3 linked regions of the Saccharomyces cerevisiae S288C genome follow. The gene in region 3 interacts genetically with the main gene of each other region. Each region holds a gene or a part of one and is shown on either strand. Other genes may lie near its edges.

Evidence for each region.
Region 1: mutations in PUB1 (region 3) and TRM732 together harm fitness more than expected from each alone (negative genetic interaction), as found in Saccharomyces cerevisiae (2 studies listed by BioGRID).
Region 2: mutations in PUB1 (region 3) and BPT1 together harm fitness more than expected from each alone (negative genetic interaction), as found in Saccharomyces cerevisiae (2 studies listed by BioGRID).

What each region holds. Positions count from the first base shown.
Region 1 is NC_001145.3:784,296-790,881, reverse strand, and holds TRM732 (tRNA methylation protein TRM732), read left to right. Parts: upstream 1-1,998; coding exon 1,999-6,261; downstream 6,262-6,586. Other genes in the region: TPS3 (trehalose 6-phosphate synthase/phosphatase complex subunit), read left to right, coding at 1-677; TIF11 (translation initiation complex factor eIF1A), read left to right, coding at 1,043-1,504. UniProt on the Saccharomyces cerevisiae protein: Together with methyltransferase TRM7, methylates the 2'-O-ribose of nucleotides at position 32 of the anticodon loop of substrate tRNAs.
Region 2 is NC_001144.5:112,818-119,403, reverse strand, and holds the start of BPT1 (ATP-binding cassette bilirubin transporter BPT1), read right to left. Parts: upstream 2,973-6,586; coding exon 1-2,972. UniProt on the Saccharomyces cerevisiae protein: Cooperates for the ATP-dependent vacuolar transport of bilirubin and glutathione conjugates.
Region 3 is NC_001146.8:599,835-606,420, reverse strand, and holds PUB1 (Pub1p), read right to left. Parts: upstream 3,515-6,586; coding exon 2,153-3,514; downstream 1-2,152. Other genes in the region: HEF3 (translation elongation factor EF-3), read right to left, coding at 1-102; PBI2 (Pbi2p), read right to left, coding at 810-1,037; YNL018C (uncharacterized protein), read left to right, coding at 4,647-6,485. UniProt on the Saccharomyces cerevisiae protein: May be associated with hnRNA within the nucleus and remains associated during nucleocytoplasmic mRNA transport, once the proteins are in the cytoplasm, disassembly of PUB1-RNA complexes may occur prior to PAB1 binding and formation of a translationally competent RNP complex.

The sequences.
Region 1 (6,586 bases), on a different chromosome or scaffold from region 3:
ATACATTCGAAAGCTTATACAATGGTGTTCTAAACATCGGATTGATAGCGGAGAATGGTGCCTACGTAAGAGTTAATGGGTCGTGGTACAACATCGTGGAAGAGCTTGATTGGATGAAAGAGGTGGCAAAGATCTTTGACGAGAAAGTCGAGAGGTTACCTGGTTCATACTACAAAATCGCTGATTCTATGATCAGATTCCATACAGAAAACGCTGATGATCAAGATCGAGTCCCAACTGTTATTGGGGAAGCCATTACGCACATAAACACCTTATTTGATGACAGGGATATTCACGCTTATGTGCATAAGGATATTGTCTTCGTTCAACAAACGGGGCTAGCCTTAGCCGCCGCTGAGTTTTTGATGAAATTTTACAACAGTGGCGTCAGTCCTACTGACAATAGCAGAATATCTCTATCAAGAACATCCTCTTCGATGTCCGTCGGTAATAATAAGAAGCATTTCCAAAACCAGGTAGATTTCGTTTGCGTTTCCGGTTCGACATCACCTATTATTGAACCATTATTTAAATTAGTGAAGCAAGAGGTTGAAAAGAACAATCTAAAATTTGGTTACACCATTCTTTACGGTAGCTCAAGATCCACTTATGCCAAGGAACATATCAATGGTGTCAATGAACTTTTTACCATCCTTCATGACTTGACAGCCGCCTAAGCGATCATTTTCCCTCCTGTACTTTCAAAATGTTCTCTTTCTTATTCTTCAGTTATAGTTTTTACGAGCGATTATAAATATAAAAGTACGATCTTCCTTTTACGTATATATGTATATACAGCACGATAAATTACAAACAAGTTTCAACTAACAATGTGGGTTATTTCTCATATTGTTAATGAGATCTTATAATAATCATTATACACGAACGCTATTTTTCACTTTTTTTTCATTTTTGTTTTCGCCGCAAGAAGTAATAGTGAAAAATTGAAAAAAGCTTCAATTTTAGTTTGCTGAAAGAAACCTTTACTTATGTAGAAGGTGTACTTGCAAAAGCACTAGTGTAATATAGAGCAAAGTTCATCATGGGTAAGAAAAACACTAAAGGTGGTAAAAAAGGTAGAAGAGGTAAGAACGACTCTGACGGTCCAAAGCGTGAACTTATTTATAAGGAAGAAGGCCAAGAATATGCTCAAATCACCAAGATGTTGGGTAATGGAAGAGTCGAAGCCAGTTGCTTTGATGGTAATAAGAGAATGGCCCATATTAGAGGTAAGTTAAGAAAGAAAGTCTGGATGGGACAAGGTGATATTATTCTTGTTTCCTTAAGAGATTTCCAAGATGACCAATGTGATGTTGTCCACAAATATAATTTAGATGAAGCCAGAACACTGAAAAACCAAGGTGAACTTCCTGAAAACGCCAAAATTAATGAAACAGACAACTTTGGTTTCGAATCTGATGAAGACGTTAACTTTGAATTTGGTAACGCTGATGAAGATGATGAGGAAGGTGAAGATGAAGAACTTGATATTGATGACATTTAATTTAGGCCGAACAAGTGTCCTCAATATCTTCTAATGCGTCAACTATTCATAATTTATTTATAATTATATTTTTTAGTCCATCATAGGAAAGGGTTTTCTTTTTACTATATCGAAATACTTATATATAGATATCAAAAAAAGAATAAAAATGAAATACCTCAAGAAGTCGTTTAATCTTCCTTCTAGGGTTTCTTTCAAGCGGACGTTAAGGAGACGTAATAAAAATTTTCTCGCACGAGAAATTTGAGCAAAGAGCACGTTGCGAATACGTTTTATCCATTCATCGTTTTTAATTTATTACCTTTTCTTTCGATGCTGTTTATTGTCACTCATGAGTGCTTCCGTTTTTTCCATCGAAAATTTACTTTTTTAGACTGAAAAGAAAATGAAAAGTTAAAATAAATTTTTACCAGAAAATGCTCATCGCAGGAAAATGACAATACTATTGTGAGCTTCCCGAGGTACACATTACTTCATACTGAAAGTTTCAAAAAATGACTACGGATGTGCAATTTTCAAGTCAGGAAATCGAGCTTTTCCGTGTCAAAGAATTCTTGATTGCTAATAATCCAGCAAAGATCAACAATGAAAATAAGGATGCTGTTTTAACTCAGATTGAGCATGATTTCAGGTATTTAATACAGTATATCAAGGACGGATTACCGAACTTAAATGAGTCCACAAGGTTAATTTTTCCAGATACCTTTTCGATCTGTTTACTAAGGAGCCATCAAATAATTGCAAGCAAAAAAATTGACTCTCAAGAATTTTTATCGGCGGTAAAAGAGCAACTCTTAACTGAAGCGAATGCAAATATTATCTTTGAATATGTTCTTGACTTTTGGGCTGATGGTGGAGCCCCACTGATGAATGCCTTGAGAGATTTATTCAGTAAACTACTGAACTTATTGAAAATCACATATCCTATGTCAACCTTGAAGGATGTTTTATTTAATTGGATGAATGAAATATTAGAAGTACCATCTACGTTGCGTGTTCAGTATTACTTGATTGATGCCCTTTCTTCTGATTTTGACCTTTATTATATTATAGAAAAAAAGCCTCATTTCATCGATAACTCTTTTTCATTAATGAACTCTGATTTGCTAGCAAATTCGGTAGGTAAATGCATTGTTAGTTTGCTGTTAAACATTTACGAAAAGCATTTCAAAAAGAACGAGTCTTTTGTACAAGAATGGATACAATTATGGAAAAGTTGTGCTTTAAAGTACATTCACGACAAACAATACACCAAATCCATTAATCTGTATATTATGATTCCATTATTCAAAAATATGCCAAACTCGGCCTTCACACTTTTCCTAGAATGTATGTCTAACAAAGACCCATCACTTTTGCTCTCACTTTTAAAGATTGGCCAAGAATTGGGGATTGAAGAAGAACCATTTTGTGATAATAAATATACCACTGTAGATTCTGTTAACAAACTCATAGAGCAAGATGAGTATAAACTTCAGGTATTTGAAATACTGACCTTTTCGACAAAAAAGTCAAAGCCTATTCGTCCCTTCGTCTTCAAAACTATAAAACAGTACCTATATGTGTTCTTCGTGGACACTGAACTTGAACGCAGAAATTACTTTTGCAGTTCGATGAAACACTTTATATTTAGAACCAGAGACTGCGCATACTCTTTAGCTAGGGATGCCAGAAAGCTTAAAAAGGCTGAGAAATTTCCGGACGAACAGAGGGAAAAGTTGGCGCAAGTTGAGGAGGCTAGAGCCTTTTTGGTTTGGCTATGCAATTTTATAAAATATAATTTGGCCCCTGGTACTTTATATCAGGCGAACGTGACCTCATTAAAACTTATGCACATTCTGATCAAGTCTGGTGTTGATAAATCTACTCCACAAAAATTTTTAGACAACCAAAATAAGAGGGAATATCCTTTTTCTATCCCAATTTTACAGGATGTCACATTTTTAAGGTTGCTCATTGACCTTTTGGTTAGTAATTATGCTGACGTGCGCGAATTATCTAAAGAAATGCTATTTATAATGATAAGCGCTGATGAATCTAGAGGTCTTTTTTTGGATACCTTAGACGCAAATGCTTTGAAGTGGACTGCAACCTCTCTTTTAAGTGACTATGAGAAAGGTGATGCTGGAGCTACCGTATATGAGTTCATATTCACAGTCATGGGCTCTCAAAGAAGCTTCATTGACCAGACAATTGATATATTAGCGCAGATGGTACAAAATTTGCAAAATGACAGCATTGGTTGTGCAGAAAATTCAATCGGTCCTCACTTTGCTGCACTAAGCTTGATTTTGAATAAGTTTAACTCTGAAGAAAACCATCAAGATACTTCAAAAATAATCTCAAAATTAATAAATCTTGTACTCAAGAGCTGGGAAGCAACGAGAAATGTAGTGTGTCATGATTCTGCCCATGGAATACTACCTGAAAAATATGCTAATTGTGGTGTACCGGACCAAGTTATAATAAGTCACGCATTTAGGGCGATAAAAGAAGCATCATATTTACTTGAAACAATATTAAAAAAATACCCTTTAACAAGAGATCAATTAGACAGTATCGGCGATCTTTTTATTGTTCAGCTTTCTACTATTCGTCATAGTGGCGCCTTCCAAGCCGTTTTACCGGGGCTAAAGGCATTTTGTATTCGTTGTCAACTTGAATTTCCCGCTATTCTGGAAGAACTTTTAAGCAAGAGTGTAAAATCTTTAAAATCCAAAACTCAACATATTACAAGAAGGTCAGGAGGCTTGCCTTTCTTGGTCACAACCGTCTTAAGTGCAGAAGTTACCAAAGGGAGACCTTTGTTACAAAAAACTTTTGAAAACTTACTACTCGTTGCAAGGTTACCAATTCCTCCCCATCAAGATGAGTTTGATTTACCACAGGTTAATGCTATTAATTGTATAAACGCAATCTTTGTTGAACCGAAGCTCTCTGTACACTGTACGTCATTTGTCTCAGAGGCATTAGAACTAGCTTTATTGAATTTCGACTGTGATATATGGGCTCTAAGAAACTGTTCTATCATGCTGTTTACCTCCTTGCAAAATAGAATTTTTGGAAAAGTGGGCAGAAGCGTTAGTGCAAAATTATTCTTTACCAAATATTCTGGCTTGAGGCAACTGCTTTTGAATATTCTAAACAGTTCTATTGCTCAATATTCGGGAAGTGAAAGAAAATCATATCAAATTGAAAGCATTTTCTTGGTCCTTAATGTGCTACTGAGGTTACGGCCTACAGCTGGCTATACTGGTCTAAAAGAATTCAACGTTTCTGTTTATGAATGTTTATCAAATGAGAACTGGAAGATCAGAGATATGGCCTCTAGAGTATTGCATATGCTGTCGGAAAATTTTGAAGAAGAGATAAGAAAATTACTTGACTTGGCTTCTATCGCGAAGCAAAACCAGTTACATGGACACTTACTAGCACTCCAACAACTAGTACCACAATACCTTTCAGGAACTAGAGATATGGAGTTGATTCAAAGGATACTTGAAAAGAAAAGGATGCTTCTACTAGAGAACAAGTGCTTTATCACTAAAAAGGCCTACTTAAAATTGACCTGCTGTATATTGGAAACATGCGACATACCTGATTCTATTTTAAAAGATTATATCAGCACTTTGCGGAACACATTTATTGCTGAAAATAACGAATATGTTGTGGATGGTAGCAAACAGCTATATCTTGCACAAATCTTAGACATGCTCTTAAAATATGAGGATAGTATATATCTCGATGATATTTGCTTATTAGGATTGTATTCTCCATTTTATGAGGCTCAGCTCAGTACACTACAGTACATGAATACTAACTTTCACTGGGAAACTACAAGAAACTCAGAATTTCTTGAACAACTACAATTATTACTCAGGGTTCCAGATTTGCTGCCTATGGCTAAAGCTTTAGTAGTGAAAATTCTCTCAAGAAAAAAGAATACTTTATCCCTGACGACCTGCACTGATCTCCTAAAAACAAATAATAGTGAAGATACAAAACTTGCTGCCGTTTCATCACTAAGTGCTAAATTGTCTTCGCAAACCTTTCACCAGGTATGGAACTTGTTACAAGGATTTTTCGCCGATTCTTGTTCAAAAGATTTTAGATTGGCATCTTTAGAATGTTTAACTGCTTATCCAGAAAGTTGTAAGAACTCCAGAATACTATTACAACTGTACAACTTCTTATGGGACGATGATTCTGAAATAAGAGAAAAGGCTTCTTTTTATTTGAATAAGAACTTTATTCAAACTGCAGACTGGGAATATAACAGGAACACCAGTGTGACCGCTCTTATATTCACAAAAAAGTTTGTTGACGTATTCACAAGTTCTGAGGTGGTAGAAGAGTTGTGTTTACAGTTGTTTCAATATCTAAATGAATATGATATGTTTGCTGCCGAAGAATCGGCGAAGAATTGTCTATTTACTATAGAAAAGGATAACCAGTTCATCAACGAACTACAAAAGGCAATGCATATATTAAATATGATAAAATTGACTGGAAGGGATATCTCAAAGTGTTACAAAGACCAGATACATCACCTAAAAAGTGCTCTATTGGAGCACTTCAACACCGAGGATTTTAAAGATTCCCCACTCGGCTGGTGCTCTAATGCTGAAATATTTTCAAGAATAACGCTTTTAAAGGAACTGATTCAACATTATTCTCCTTCTGATTATGAGAATTTTATCAATGTTCTGACTAAACATTCTGTTCATCCCCTAATTATCAGTTATTCCCAATTATAAATAATGAATATGTACAGATATATACTTTGCATATAATCTGATTCATCTCTAACCTACTTGTGGATTTAGTGACGAGATTCATTGTGGAACCTATTACAAAGCATGTCGATTTCTATTCTAAATACAATGATGGAACTTGATTTAATTTCTTTACCGTTGTCATTTTCTTTTGAATTTTTTCCACCTCTTTTTTTGTTGAAAAATGTTCATGGATGGAAAATTAAAGGTGTGCCCTATTACAAAAGCAAGTTGTACCCCTTTACTAACTCTCTAGTCAATTTGAACTATTGTGAAAACGACAGTTGTGCTCACATGATATAACAAA
Region 2 (6,586 bases), on a different chromosome or scaffold from region 3:
CTTGTTAATATCATAAACAAGAAAAATAAAACAACACCTAAAACTCCACAAGCCTTAATATACGCAAGATAAATCTTTGTTTTGACTCTTCCCACCTCTGTCTTCTCGGCCTTTTGCGCCGTTTTCTTCACGGAATCCAATTGTGCTCCCACAAAGGGTCTAGGTCTTAGCGTAGCTAGAGAAGCTCTTCTAGAATTGGCTTTGATTAGTTCTAATTCACTCTCAGTAACAACCTCATCCTCAGTTTCTGATTCAGTTACTTTAAGCTGCAGAGGTTCATCCACTTCACTTTCGGATCGGTGTTCAGTTTGGACATCGCTTTCATTTCCATTATCAATCGGAGAATCAAATTCCTCTAGTAATTTTTTCAGTTTTGAAGTATTGTTCTTACGGTTCATTACATCCTCATAATTCCCTTGTTCAACAATTTCACCGTTTTCTAGCGCATATATCATCTGCGAATGTTTTAAAATTGATACAGTATTGGTAGTTAAAATAATTGTTTTATTTTTTAATAAAGCCGTCTTTCCGATCAAAACATATTCAATAATATTTTTACTAACTTCTGCATCAACAGCAGATAAAATGTCATCCAACAAATAAATATCTGCTCTCGAGTACACCGCTCTGGCTAATGAAAGACGGGCCTTCTGACCGCCTGATAGGGAAATGCCCTTTTCACCTACCAAAGTTTCATCACCATCTGGTAGTATTTTCAAATCGGGTAGCAATTGACATGCTTTAATAGTGAGGTCATAATAATCTTGGTCGAACTTGTGACCAAATAGAATGTTTTCTCTTACAGATGCGTTCATTATCCAGGATTCTTGTGAACAGTAGGCTACAGACGATGATCTAATGATCAGTTTAGGTGGTATCGAGTCCCTAGAACCACTCATGCAAGGAAGTTGACCAAGAATTGCCTTCAAAAATGTTGATTTACCAGCTCCTACCCGACCAACAACACAAACTAAATCACCCCTTTTTGCTTCAAAATGATCGATATTCTTCAACGCAATTTGAGAAGATCCGATAATAGACTCTTCATCTGTCCTCAAATTATCTCCAGATTGGCTAGATGTTAATACTTCTTTTGATTTCCATAAAAATGTAATATTATTCATCTCTATAGCAGGTAACGCTCTTTCATCCGCTGAAGGATCAATACGTTCGATGAACGAATCATCAATTTCGTCACTAAGTAGGAATGACTTTAATCTTTCCATAGAAACGCTTGTCTCTATAATGGTATTTATCATGGATGGAACGGAATAGATGGCACTGTTCAAAATATTAAATAAAGATAATGAAGGGAAGACAATGGCAGGAGATAACGGAGAATCACTAAATAAAGAAAATAAGCCAAATGTGGAACATGTCACCATTAAAGGTACACAATTCCACGCAAAATATATCAGATTGCTCACTATACCAATTTTCCGAAAATTTTTCAACTCCATATCATTACGAACATGATTCAATCTTGCCATCATAGGTTCCTCCCAGGCGTATAATTTAATAGATTTTATAGCATTCAAAAGCTCTGTAATAGTCTTGATTCTCATGTCCTTATACTTCATTTGAGTTTTTGATAGCTTTTTTACCTTTCTAGATAAGAAGGCATTGATAGGCATCATAATAGCCATAGTAACCAACCCTCCAATAACAGCCTTTCCTAGCAACCAGTACAGGGAAGTTAATACAACAATAATCTGAATAGGAGCGCCAATAATGGTTTGGGCATTTTCGAAAAACCGCTGGATCCTTAACACATCCACAGACATCAAATTTAAGATGTCACCAGTAGATTTTTCGTTACGCTCTGCTAGCGTCAATCTTAAGGACTTCTGATACACTAAAGAAGCTAAAGAGCCTCTTATCCCCAAACCAGCCTCAAAAATTCCAATATAAAATTGATTGGTGAGGAACACAGAAACCACGCTGATTACGAAAAGGGTTAGAGCAATAAATACACCATTTAAAGGAGGATATTTAGAAGATGTTTCCGGGTTCAAACCATCTATGAATATCCGTAGAAACTGGGGCTGTACTACAGAAAGTAAATCAGATGTCGTTTCATACAGCATAGCCACAGAAATAGTCCTACCAAATGACTTCCAAATGGCCCTCCAAAGAGAATTTCTATTCAACCATTTTTCCAATTCCCAGTTAGCCTTAAATTCCTTACTTATCGACTTAATATTCAGATCTACTGGCGGCAATGGTAACTGGTTAGGATCTTTGATTTTCTTGTTACGGTAAGTTTCCACAATCAGTTTGTTCATCCAGATAAATGTAATATAGGATAGTACATGAACGGGGGGATACCACCCATTTTTCTTGTAGTATTCAGATAATTCGTTAATTGGCTCAAAAATGCATAGATCATAAATAAAAATTGCCACAGAATTGAAAAGAAGGAGCACTTCTAAAATCATAGCAGTTTGTCCGCTAATAACAGTAAGCCTTTCGTTACTAGAACCATGATAGTACCTCTGCAATATCAAGAAGAGCTGTAGAAGAATTTGAAACATGTAATAGAAAAGCTGGTTGCCCATTGAAAATGTACTTTTAAAATAAGCTAAGTATTGAGTAGGGAGAGAAATACCCAAATTGAAAAGGAGATTCAAGTACAGAGCCTTCTTTAGTATAAATGGATAAACCCTATCGCTAGATTGGGATACCAAGGCCAGTTCACAAATTATAAGCGTGGACTGAAAGCAAACATTGGTCAAATGCGTTAGATGTCGACTGTTGATTTTACTTGGTAATGTAGGAAAGTTCTTAAATCTGGGTGGTACTTTATTGTTCTTATAAAGTTTCCACAATTGATAGCTACCAATCAATAGGAAAAAGACGGCTTGCCAGGCGGATATTACTGATATAAAACATGGATTTAATGCATTTGTGCCACTATCTGGATATGGTCGGTATCCATAGGGGCACCCATCTACCACTTCTAGTGAAGACATTGTCTTTATATTAATCTTTTTTAGACAAAATTTTCTTTATGATCTCTTTAAAATTAACCACTGCTAATATATGTTCAGAAGAGACCTTGGTATAGAAAAGTATGCGAGGACAATCTGTTGATAGGTTCAGGAGTATGCGATTTTAATTTGGAGAACTGGCTGAATTAACTTATACTCAGGCGCAATTTTTTAAAGGGAATTGGAATTATCGCGATGTCGCTACGGCCAAAAATTTGAGGGCATTTAAATATTATGGTATGCTATAAATAAGCAAATATATAATAAACTAGGCAAACAATACGATCAACATTGTGGGATAGCAGCCGTCGGGCTTGATGACGGACATAGTTTACTATAGTGATCAATAAATAATATAACAGGAGAAAACAAACAAAATAATTAATCCACCGAGAGAAGGAAATCGAACATACGGCGCCGTTACTTAGAAACCTTGGGAGCTTTTTTCTTTGTCTTATGTAATTGAAATTTTGGAAATCTGTCTTTCTTAGTGGATGTTTTTCCTTCATCGGTTTGGTCATCCCTGGATTTTTCTTGTGATTTATTATTCGAATTGGAATTCGGAACGACTTTCTTTCTTGGTTTTGGTTCAATAATTAATGATAATTGGTATTGTTTCTCAATATGGGGGATGTTTTCCAATGAATTTGATATACATTCAATTACCGTCCGATCTTTAGTGAAATCATAATGTGTTTTCTTGAAATATATGATCTCTTGTAAGATATCAACAAGTCTGCTCCTTTTGTTGAAGTTTATATATTTCTTCTCATCATGGACACCCTTTAAACCATGTTCCAAGACAAGATAATCCGGATTTCCGGAATCAGTAAAGGTTAGATCAGATAAATAAACGCCGAAAAACGGTACGCAGGGAGCGCTATGTAAAGATTTCAGCTCGTTTCTGTAATTTATGAAATTTTTCTTGGGATCCATCAACTTGTTCAGTGACTGCAATAGATCTCTCGTTTGAGGAATAACTGCCTGCCAGGTTTTCTCTAAACGATAAATTGGTGAAGAATATAATGCTGAAATGATTGCAGTCATGGAAGAAAAGTTATTGAATTTCCTACAATATTCTGCGATAAAAATAAAATGAGAGAGTAGCTTGGCGCGCTTACTTTTATCAGCCTCCTTTACAACAGAGTAGGATATGAAATTTGTCAGTTTATTGGCAAAACTGATAAACTCGTTCAAACCCGGTGAAGCCCCATACGATTTTGTATACTTGTTCTTCCAAATTTTTTGTAAACAATCAAAAATGGTTATCTCACAATAAATTTCATGCTCTAGTATCGTTAATTGAGTGGCAAATAAAACTGGATCGACGGCCAAAATGGATTCCGTGGTAGAGTATAAAGTGCCCGAGTAATGGTCCTGGCAGATCTGTTGATCTAACGTTTTCATTGGTGCAGTCGCTTCTTGTATATTACCATGTTTAAACTTCTGATTGACCTCCTTTAGTAATTCCACAGATCCTGTTATATTTTCCTTGATTGCTACTTGCGCAAAATAATCCAGATTTAGGGTCGCAAGATCGGGCTCATCATAGCCCAGGAACCAATATTGCTTGAAAAAGGTTGTCATAATCTCAACCACCCTACATTTAACCGGTATAAGCTTTTTCGTCACCCATTCATTGTATTCTTCAAAGCACAAATCCTCTGGTGGATCCAAATTATATTGCGAAATCAAGTAGCTTAAAAACTCCGTTGTAGTAAAGATGCTTCTGAAAGTGATTAAAAAAGTAATATCGAAAAATAGATCCTTCTTTTCATTATCTGTCAAGTAAGAGATCAGTGCGTGTTTAGAACCACCTTTAATCCTATTGTTAGAGCCCCAAATCAGTTCACTGTCATACTCGCGCTGCAAATACCTCGGTAATTTGACTTGGCTGTCACGCCATTCGTCATTGTCTTTAGTATCTGAATCTGCATAAACAGCATTCGTGTCACTTTTTTCGGCAGTTTCACCGCCGTCATAGGACCCATAGCCTTCTTCCCCGCGCAATAGCAATTCCGTGATATTGTTTTTCATCATTCTAGCAGCATAATTTAACAAATTCTCTCTTTCTAGAATTAATTGATTCACGAACTCAATGGCTAGTTTAAGCACATCAAAATAGTCATCACAGGATTTTTTAAAAACGTGGGCGAGATTAAAAAACTTTAAATCATTGAAATCAGAATCTTGATTGATGAGGTTGTGGAAGAGAATAAGACTATCCGGGTCTGGCTCATATTCATCTTCCTCCTCTTGGATATCAGTATTTTGGCTCCCATTCTTCTTATCCTTGGCATTATCTAAATTCAAGGATGAAGGTTTCATTGGTTCATAATAACCGGTAGGCAAGTCGTTTTGCATTGGCGAGAAAACGAAAGGATCCTCTAATGTCAAATGCTGGGCGACAATTATAAATTTCACTACTACATCATGAAAATATTGCTTCATATTAAAATAGTCGGATAAGATATACGATAGGGATGATAAAGAATGTTTCAAAAACTCTTCATCTTCATCATCAATAGCGACATCTTCGTCAAAAACTCTATTCTCATCTCCCAACTCTCTCAAGTTTAGAAAAATAGTTAAATCTAGGTTTTCCAGAATATCAATTATAGGAATTGTTCCGCTTACTTCTTCGTAGGTTTTGAAATTCATTTCAAAATTCAACATTTTTGAAAAATTAGCCGTGTTACTGAGATATTCATTAGCACTTTTGATCATTTGTTTTAGTTTACCATCAAGCTGCTTCTTCCTGGCCCTTACAAGGCTTAGAGTTTCTTCATTTAGCGGGTATGGTTTTTTCCTTTTGGACCATATGGTGTCAGACTCATCGGAACTTCCTGACACATTAGAGAAAATGGTACCTCTTCTCCTTCTTTGAAACGGGGCTGATGGTGAATGGTGAGACGTTTCTGACGAGCATGAAGTGCCCTGTTTGGAAGCTGGAATTTCATCAATATTTTCCGCAACAATTCCTGAAGCACCAGCAACGGCTTTAATCATCTGTCTCGGTAGGTCATGGGACATATGCTGGTTGAGACGCTTACGCAAAAACGGGTTATTCCATGAAATTGTATTGAAAGAATCCTTGAAAAATCGAGGAGTCAATTGAGGCAGTATTGTAAGTTCGTTAGGATTTGAGAGGAAATGTAGTAAACGCAGTAGAAAATGAAATTTTTGGAAGGTTCCTAGGATTGACTGTAGAAGAGGGGATCTTCTTTCTGGATCCTTCTGGGAGGCTATGGCTTCTCTTTCTTCAAACAATGTGGAATGAAACCAAATATTTGCATTTATTGAAAACCTAGACAAGGTGTAAATTAGTTTTTTGAGGGTTTTTTTGAAACTATCTTCAACTAAACGGAGATTCCTGAAAAGCATATAAACATAGGTTATTTGAGCTGTTAATAAATCCAAGGAAGTTAGAAACTTTTCCCGTTCATTTGCCAATAGGTCGCGCTCTGTTAAATTAACATAATGACACACTAAGCGAGTGAGGTCATACCAATAGACGACATCACAATCATTGAGATAGAACAGATCGGGGCTTGACGTTATAGGCATCTTTTTACCAGCTATCTTCGATATTGCAG
Region 3 (6,586 bases):
GGAAAGCTCCGAAGAAATACCCTCTCTTGTTTCTGAAGTAGCAGTTTCCAACTTTCGGAAAAGCTCTTCTAGAACGGTGATTGATTGTTGTGAATCTGACATTTTGTGATTCCTTTTTTTTATTTATTTTTGGTTTAAAAGGCTCTTTTTTTGCACCACACTATCTACCCTTCTCTATTAGATTGAAAAGAAGAAGGAATTTCTGGCGCAAAAGTAACTGGAGAGGAGGACAAAAGATATATATATATATATATTTAAATGGATATATATATATGCACATATATATTATCCAGAAAAGTAAAGCAAAATGTGAATGGAAAAGAGAAAGAAGAAAGAAACAAGTGGAGAAAAAACTCAAATTGTTAGAAGAATATACCCATTAATAGCGGAAATCAAGGCTATTCTTTTGTGCAAGCGCATCGCTCCCCTAAAAGACATCCAGCCGCGCAATGCACGGGCCGCGACCTTGAAAATTTAAAAGACCACTTCCTCAACACAGTTTAGCTCTGTTAATGACAAGGCAAGGAAAGCAAGATGACCAGAAAAAGAAAGTCCCGAGACACATCTTAGATGCCAAAGAAATGGCGCCACAGCAGTTATAAAAGAGCGTTAAAATTGAACAGGAGCAACGATTTAGACTGTCATAAATATATTCGTATATATATATGTATATATATATATATATATATATATATATATAGGACGTGCTCTGCTGTTTTTTGGTGAATTATTATAGTAGACGAGAAATAAATTTACAATCGGGGAGAGAAAATTTCCGAGTAAAAAAGTGTTTGCGTTTATCTCAGGAATCAATTTGTATGAACTTCTTTGTCTTCTTCGACGTTCTCGATGACATCATTGTGCTTTTCCTTCAACTTGTTCAAGTGGAGAACATCTGGTACCTTGATGGTGTACCCTTTAATGATGTCGAATTCGTGTACAATAGAGCCACCTGCGTGATGAACTGAATCCAAGAACTTCTTAGCTTCCACATCTGGAGTGTTCTTTTTCAAAGTGACGATGAAATTCTTTGTCATTATGGACCTTGTTTTTTGTTTGTATATTTAAGATTACCTTCTGGTTACCGTTCAATTGGTCTAAACGGAATCTCTGCACCTAACATAATGAAGCCAGAATTTTTTATATGTGCCATATATATTGCATTGAAAGAAGTTCCCGATGCTCTGATATGCCCCCTTTTTCCCGCCCCATTTTATTTTTTGGGCTATGCAAGATAAAGAAAGACCAAGAGCTCGGGGATGCGTGGTATTGGTCCGTTTCCTTTTGGGAAAGATGCCAGCCACAACCTGCCACGTACGCGATTCGAAATGATTCGGGCGTGCATATGAAGCTCTTGGAAAAAAAATAAGGGCTGGATAGAGGGAAAGGAGGTGTTTGGCAGACGAAGTAATATCATCTAGGTTTTTGATATTTGGCGTCGCGACTTTTTGGTTGTCATTTTCACAACCTTTCCCTAAAGAAAGAAAAGTCCTGTGGAACCAGCCGGGTTCCTGTTAAGCTGCCTTTTTTTTGGTCTTAACAGCCATTCTTTTGTTCGAAACACAGTTCCGTACTTAATGAGAACGTTGGAGCAGCGTCACGGGTGCGCAGTGGTAGTGGCTGTTGCCTTTATGTGCCTGGACTCAAGACTGACATGTCTCCATAACGCTAGGTAGCATTTTTATATACTTAACAAAAGTTGTAAAAAATAAAAACAAAAATTATATATATGGACTCGACAAAATACAGTGGGATGGATGTTTAAAAAAAATAGGGTAAGAAAGGAAAAAGGAAATATAATAAAGAAAGCCTTCAGAAAATACGTTCTTTATTTTTATCACACTATTAGCAATGACTTTCACATTTTAAAGGAAAATAATAGTATTAAAAATTAAACAGTGACGAAGGAAGGAAATAAGACACAGAAAAACTAAAAAAATAGAGTAAGTTTATAGGCCCTTTTATTTTTCGAGCAATAGTAAATTGAGTTTCTTCTTCTTTTTCTCTCCCTTTTTCGTAGTAATTTTTTTTTTAAAAATAGTATAATATAATGAATGGATTCTTGTCGTTCTTTTTTTATTTTATCTTGGGATTTGTAGGTTGCCTCTCTTTATTCTTTCTTTTTGTTTCATTCCACTTTTCTTCATAATATTTATTGTTGTTGCTGCTGTTGCTGCTGTTGCTGTTGTTGCTCAGACATAACCGGTTGTTGTTGGTCATTCATTATAAGTGGCTGACCGCCCTGTTGCTGCTGCTGTGGCATAAAATTTGATCTTTCCTTACCCCAACCGGTTCTCAAGTTTCTGCCTTGAAATGGGAAGTTTGCCAAGGCAACAATACAAACAGCGGCCTGTTCATGAGTGTCATACTTTATGAAGCAACAGCCCTTTTCTGGATAGTGCTTGAAATCTAAAATAAAACCGAAGTTCTGGAACAACGGAATTAAATCAGCTTCAGTGGCAAAGTGCGGAATATTACCGATATAGGCAGTAGTAACTCTTGGTGGGGCACTTCTAATGATGTGGTCAACAGCTTGAGGATTTACTTGAGGAGGTAAACCAATGGTCTGGGATTGTTGGGGTTGGCCTTGAGATGGTAATGGCATGGCGCCAATTGGCATTCCCATTGAACTTGGTGGCATGCCCCTGCTGTTGTTCATATTCATATTCATGTTCATATTCATCCCCATATTCATGTTGTTATTGTTGTTACTGTTATATTGACGGAAACCACCACGGTTGTTGTTACCGTAGTTACGACGCTGTTGATAATTATTATTGTTATTGTTATCACGCTTAGCAGCCCAGTTGATTCTTAGCGGTCTACCATTCAAATCTTGACCTTGCATGCTGTCCATGGCATTTTGTGCATCATCTTGAGAAGTAAAGGAAACAAAACCGTAACCTCTTGAACTACCAGTTTGCATGTCCCACATAACATGACCACTCAAGTAGGATGGGAAGTCTTTGAAGGCATTCCTTAAAGTTTCGTCATCAACATTAACATTCAAATCACCGACAAACAAGTTAAATGTATCATCGGAGGAACTCTGTTGGGATTGGAAGGCCCAGTTGATTTTGACAATGTTGTTTTCAATTTGTTTGCCGTTCAATGTTTGTAAGGCAATATTGGCATCGTGAGATTGATGGTATTCAACAAAAGCGTAATTGACGTTCTTATTATTCTTATCGATCATGATTTTGATGTTAGCAATTGGTCCGCCAACTTGGAAATATTGCTTTAAAATGTCTTCGGTGATAGCTTTGTCTAGGTTACCAACATATAAAACTCTATCGGAAGTTTCCCTACCACCGGTAATAGCATTAGCAGGAACTACGGAAGGATCATTTTCACCCTGATTGTCTTCAGCTTGTTCAGAATTGCCTTCGACAGCGACGCTCTGTTCAGAAGAAGGATCTGCTGATGCTGGAGCTTCAACTGCCGAGGGAGTTTCGACGGCAACAGGTTGCTGTTGTTGTTGTTGTTGATGTTGTTCTTCGTTATTTTCAGACATTGGAATCGAACAAAGAGTAGATGTGGTAATCTTCTTATTATGAACCTGCTATTAAGATGATAGAAGGGAAGATTAAACTCTAACTTAAAGCACGAAATGGAAACAGTAGATATTATGAAAATAACTGCAGAGTAGAAAAAAGGAAAGGCATGCTTTACCGTAGTTGAATGATTATTACGAGAGGAAAATGAAGGACAAGGAAAGACGGCCAACGATGAAAAAAAAAAATTGAAAAATTACAACAAAAAAGAAGCGAAGGCAAAAAAAGTTGAAAAAAGTACGAAGTGAAAATACGTAAAGAATTATGTTACAAAATGATGAAAAGAGAACGAGTAAATATTCTCTTTGAATTAATTAGTATACGTTAGGATAATTAATCTTCAGAGGTTTAGTAAGAACATTGTGCTTACAACCGCAACGCGTAAACCTTATGCTAACAAGCCTCTTCGTTCACCTCCCTTGTAACGGCAGTGGGAAGGGTAAGCAAAATAAATCACATTGCGAGAAATGTAAAAAAAGAATGGTCTCTAGCGGGATCGAACCGCTGATCCCCGCGTTATTAGCACGGTGCCTTAACCAACTGGGCCAAGAGACCATTGTTATCTGTTTTTCACCCTCCCTCCACACTATCAAACCAACGTCACAAATGTGTGCCAGAACCACCGCTCATTATCTCTGTGCCACAAAAATCAACTTACACTGTCATTCGAATTTCCGGCAAACTCCGACTGAGAAATGTTCGTACTACTTCCTTTCTAGGGCACATTAAAGGAAAAACTCATTGAATGCACCCTTCACAAATCTTAATATCTCTGACCTTTGCATTGTATTAACCAAGCAACCCTCCCTGTGCAAGTAGAAGCCCTGGATCCTTTGTGGTCGTAAAATGAACAAATACCAATAAGACGAAAACAAAAACAAAAACAAAACGACATAGCAACAATGCGGAATTATTTAAGGCTGGCACTCTTTCCGCATGTTTATCACAATTATTTCCACTTTCACTTAAAACCTTGTTTAAGCTTGGCCTACACCACAGGAAAAAAAACCATCCGATCTAATCTTCAAATATCAATTTGAGGTTGAAAAAATTTGCTAAAGCGTTGGTCTAATTTTGTTTTTCGCCCACATAATGTCTACATCTTTCCAGGAGTTCAAGGCCTTCTGCAACAAGGTTGGGCTAGACTTTCAATGGCTTAATTTGCAATCCTCCAAGTCTGTTCCCGAAAACGGTTCCTCTGAAGGTTTCTCAGCCGTCAGTGATACCGTACAAGAAAACATCAGACCAGCTACGGAACCACTTAACGTCAACCAGTCCAAAGATCCTGTCAGCAACTTTTTTTATGATGTCAAGAATGCTCCACTCTGGAACGTGTATAAGAGGAATCATTCCGGTCATTCTTCTGCTGAGGCTTGTTCTGGAGTAAGTTCAAGGCAGGCGCCAAAAAACATACCCGAGGCAATGGTAAAAGAGACAGTCCTTTCTAATCACGACAATGTCACCATAATAAACGAATTACTGCCAACTTCTTCTGCCATGCATCAGGAAGAAAGCACCGCTATGACAACCTCCTACCTCTTATCCCACTCCGTAAACGATACTTGCAACGTGATGTTTTCTTCCTCCTCCCACAACCGTGCTATGCTCCCATCTTCTCTTGTGCAAAGAAATAACGCTACCACATCTCCCACAACAGACTCTGCATCAGAAAACAACGAATCGGTACCCTCACTAACCTCATCTGTTAGCACATCCTCATCAGTTTATTCGTCATGGAATCCTCCTCATTCTCCACACATATCGTCATTTCCAGACGGCAATTTCGCATCGCTTAACGCAGAAGTGACTTGCTTTGATTTCCGCCGCACCAAGGACTCCAGAACAAAAGAGACGAATGAATCTATCATTCCAACTGAAATTTACTGCCCAACAAATTCCACTGATCACCACAAACATTATCCAAGCCGAAAATCTAAACAAGATGCCTGCGCTCCTGCTCCCTGCAATCAAAATATAAGCTGCAGCGTCGTGTCCACAGCGGAATTTTCCCAGTCTAACCACACGTTGACTACTGTAGTTCCTTCATACATGCAACAGTACCTTGACAGGCCACAGAACTGGTTTGAAAGCAAAATGGGAAAATACTGTCCACTCTTTCTGAGAAGTACAAAGAACATTGACTACGATTCCCTCGAATTTAAATTTGAGCGCAAGATGATAGCTGTTCAATACCTGCTTTTAGACGAACAATCTGAGCCCAGAAGGTACTACAACCCTTCAAATAAAAGTATTCCATTCTGGAAGAGACCCTTCAACTTCGATACAATGCCCAGCTACGACCAACTTATGGAGGAAGCAGAGTGCCGTTTTTATTCATACCAATACAAATACGAAGGTTTCCAGAGGATTGAGCCCTACTCCATTTCTTGTCCCTGGAAAAACACACAAAGAGAAATAGATCTGGTTCTTGATCACATTCATTTTTCTCTCGATGTCGGCGAGAAGAAGTCTTTAAACCGAAAAGGAAACATCACTCTCGATACTTTAGACAGTAAGGTCGATCCTAACATTCAGATCAAGCCGTATCAGATTTTTCCGTCCAACAACCTAGTATACGAAGGCTTACCGCATCCCGCCGAACAATCCTTAATTTTGAGTCCTGACACCTCCCTCATTGAGAGGGCGTTTCAGGCACTGATAGACATATGCAAGGAATCCATTCCATCTTCTAATGACTGTAGTACCCGCAATAATAATAGCGCTCCTCAGCTTACCGTGCCAGAACCATCTAAACCATGCCGGCTGCTACTTGTTCGTGAGTCTCGCACAGCAACTGAACTAAAAACTAATAAAAAGCTCTGGCTCCACTCACAAAGAAGGAATATCGAAGTGACCGTACCAATGCATCCTTCTGAGCGTGGGACAAAAAGCTGGTTACGAAAATGGCTCTCAACTTTTGTACATCAGTGAACCGTCAGAAGTTCTGATAGTTCGAACTGTTTGGCACGGCTGACCAAATACTTTTTAACAAGCAAGTTAGTCTACACATAACTTCGTACTTACCACCGTTT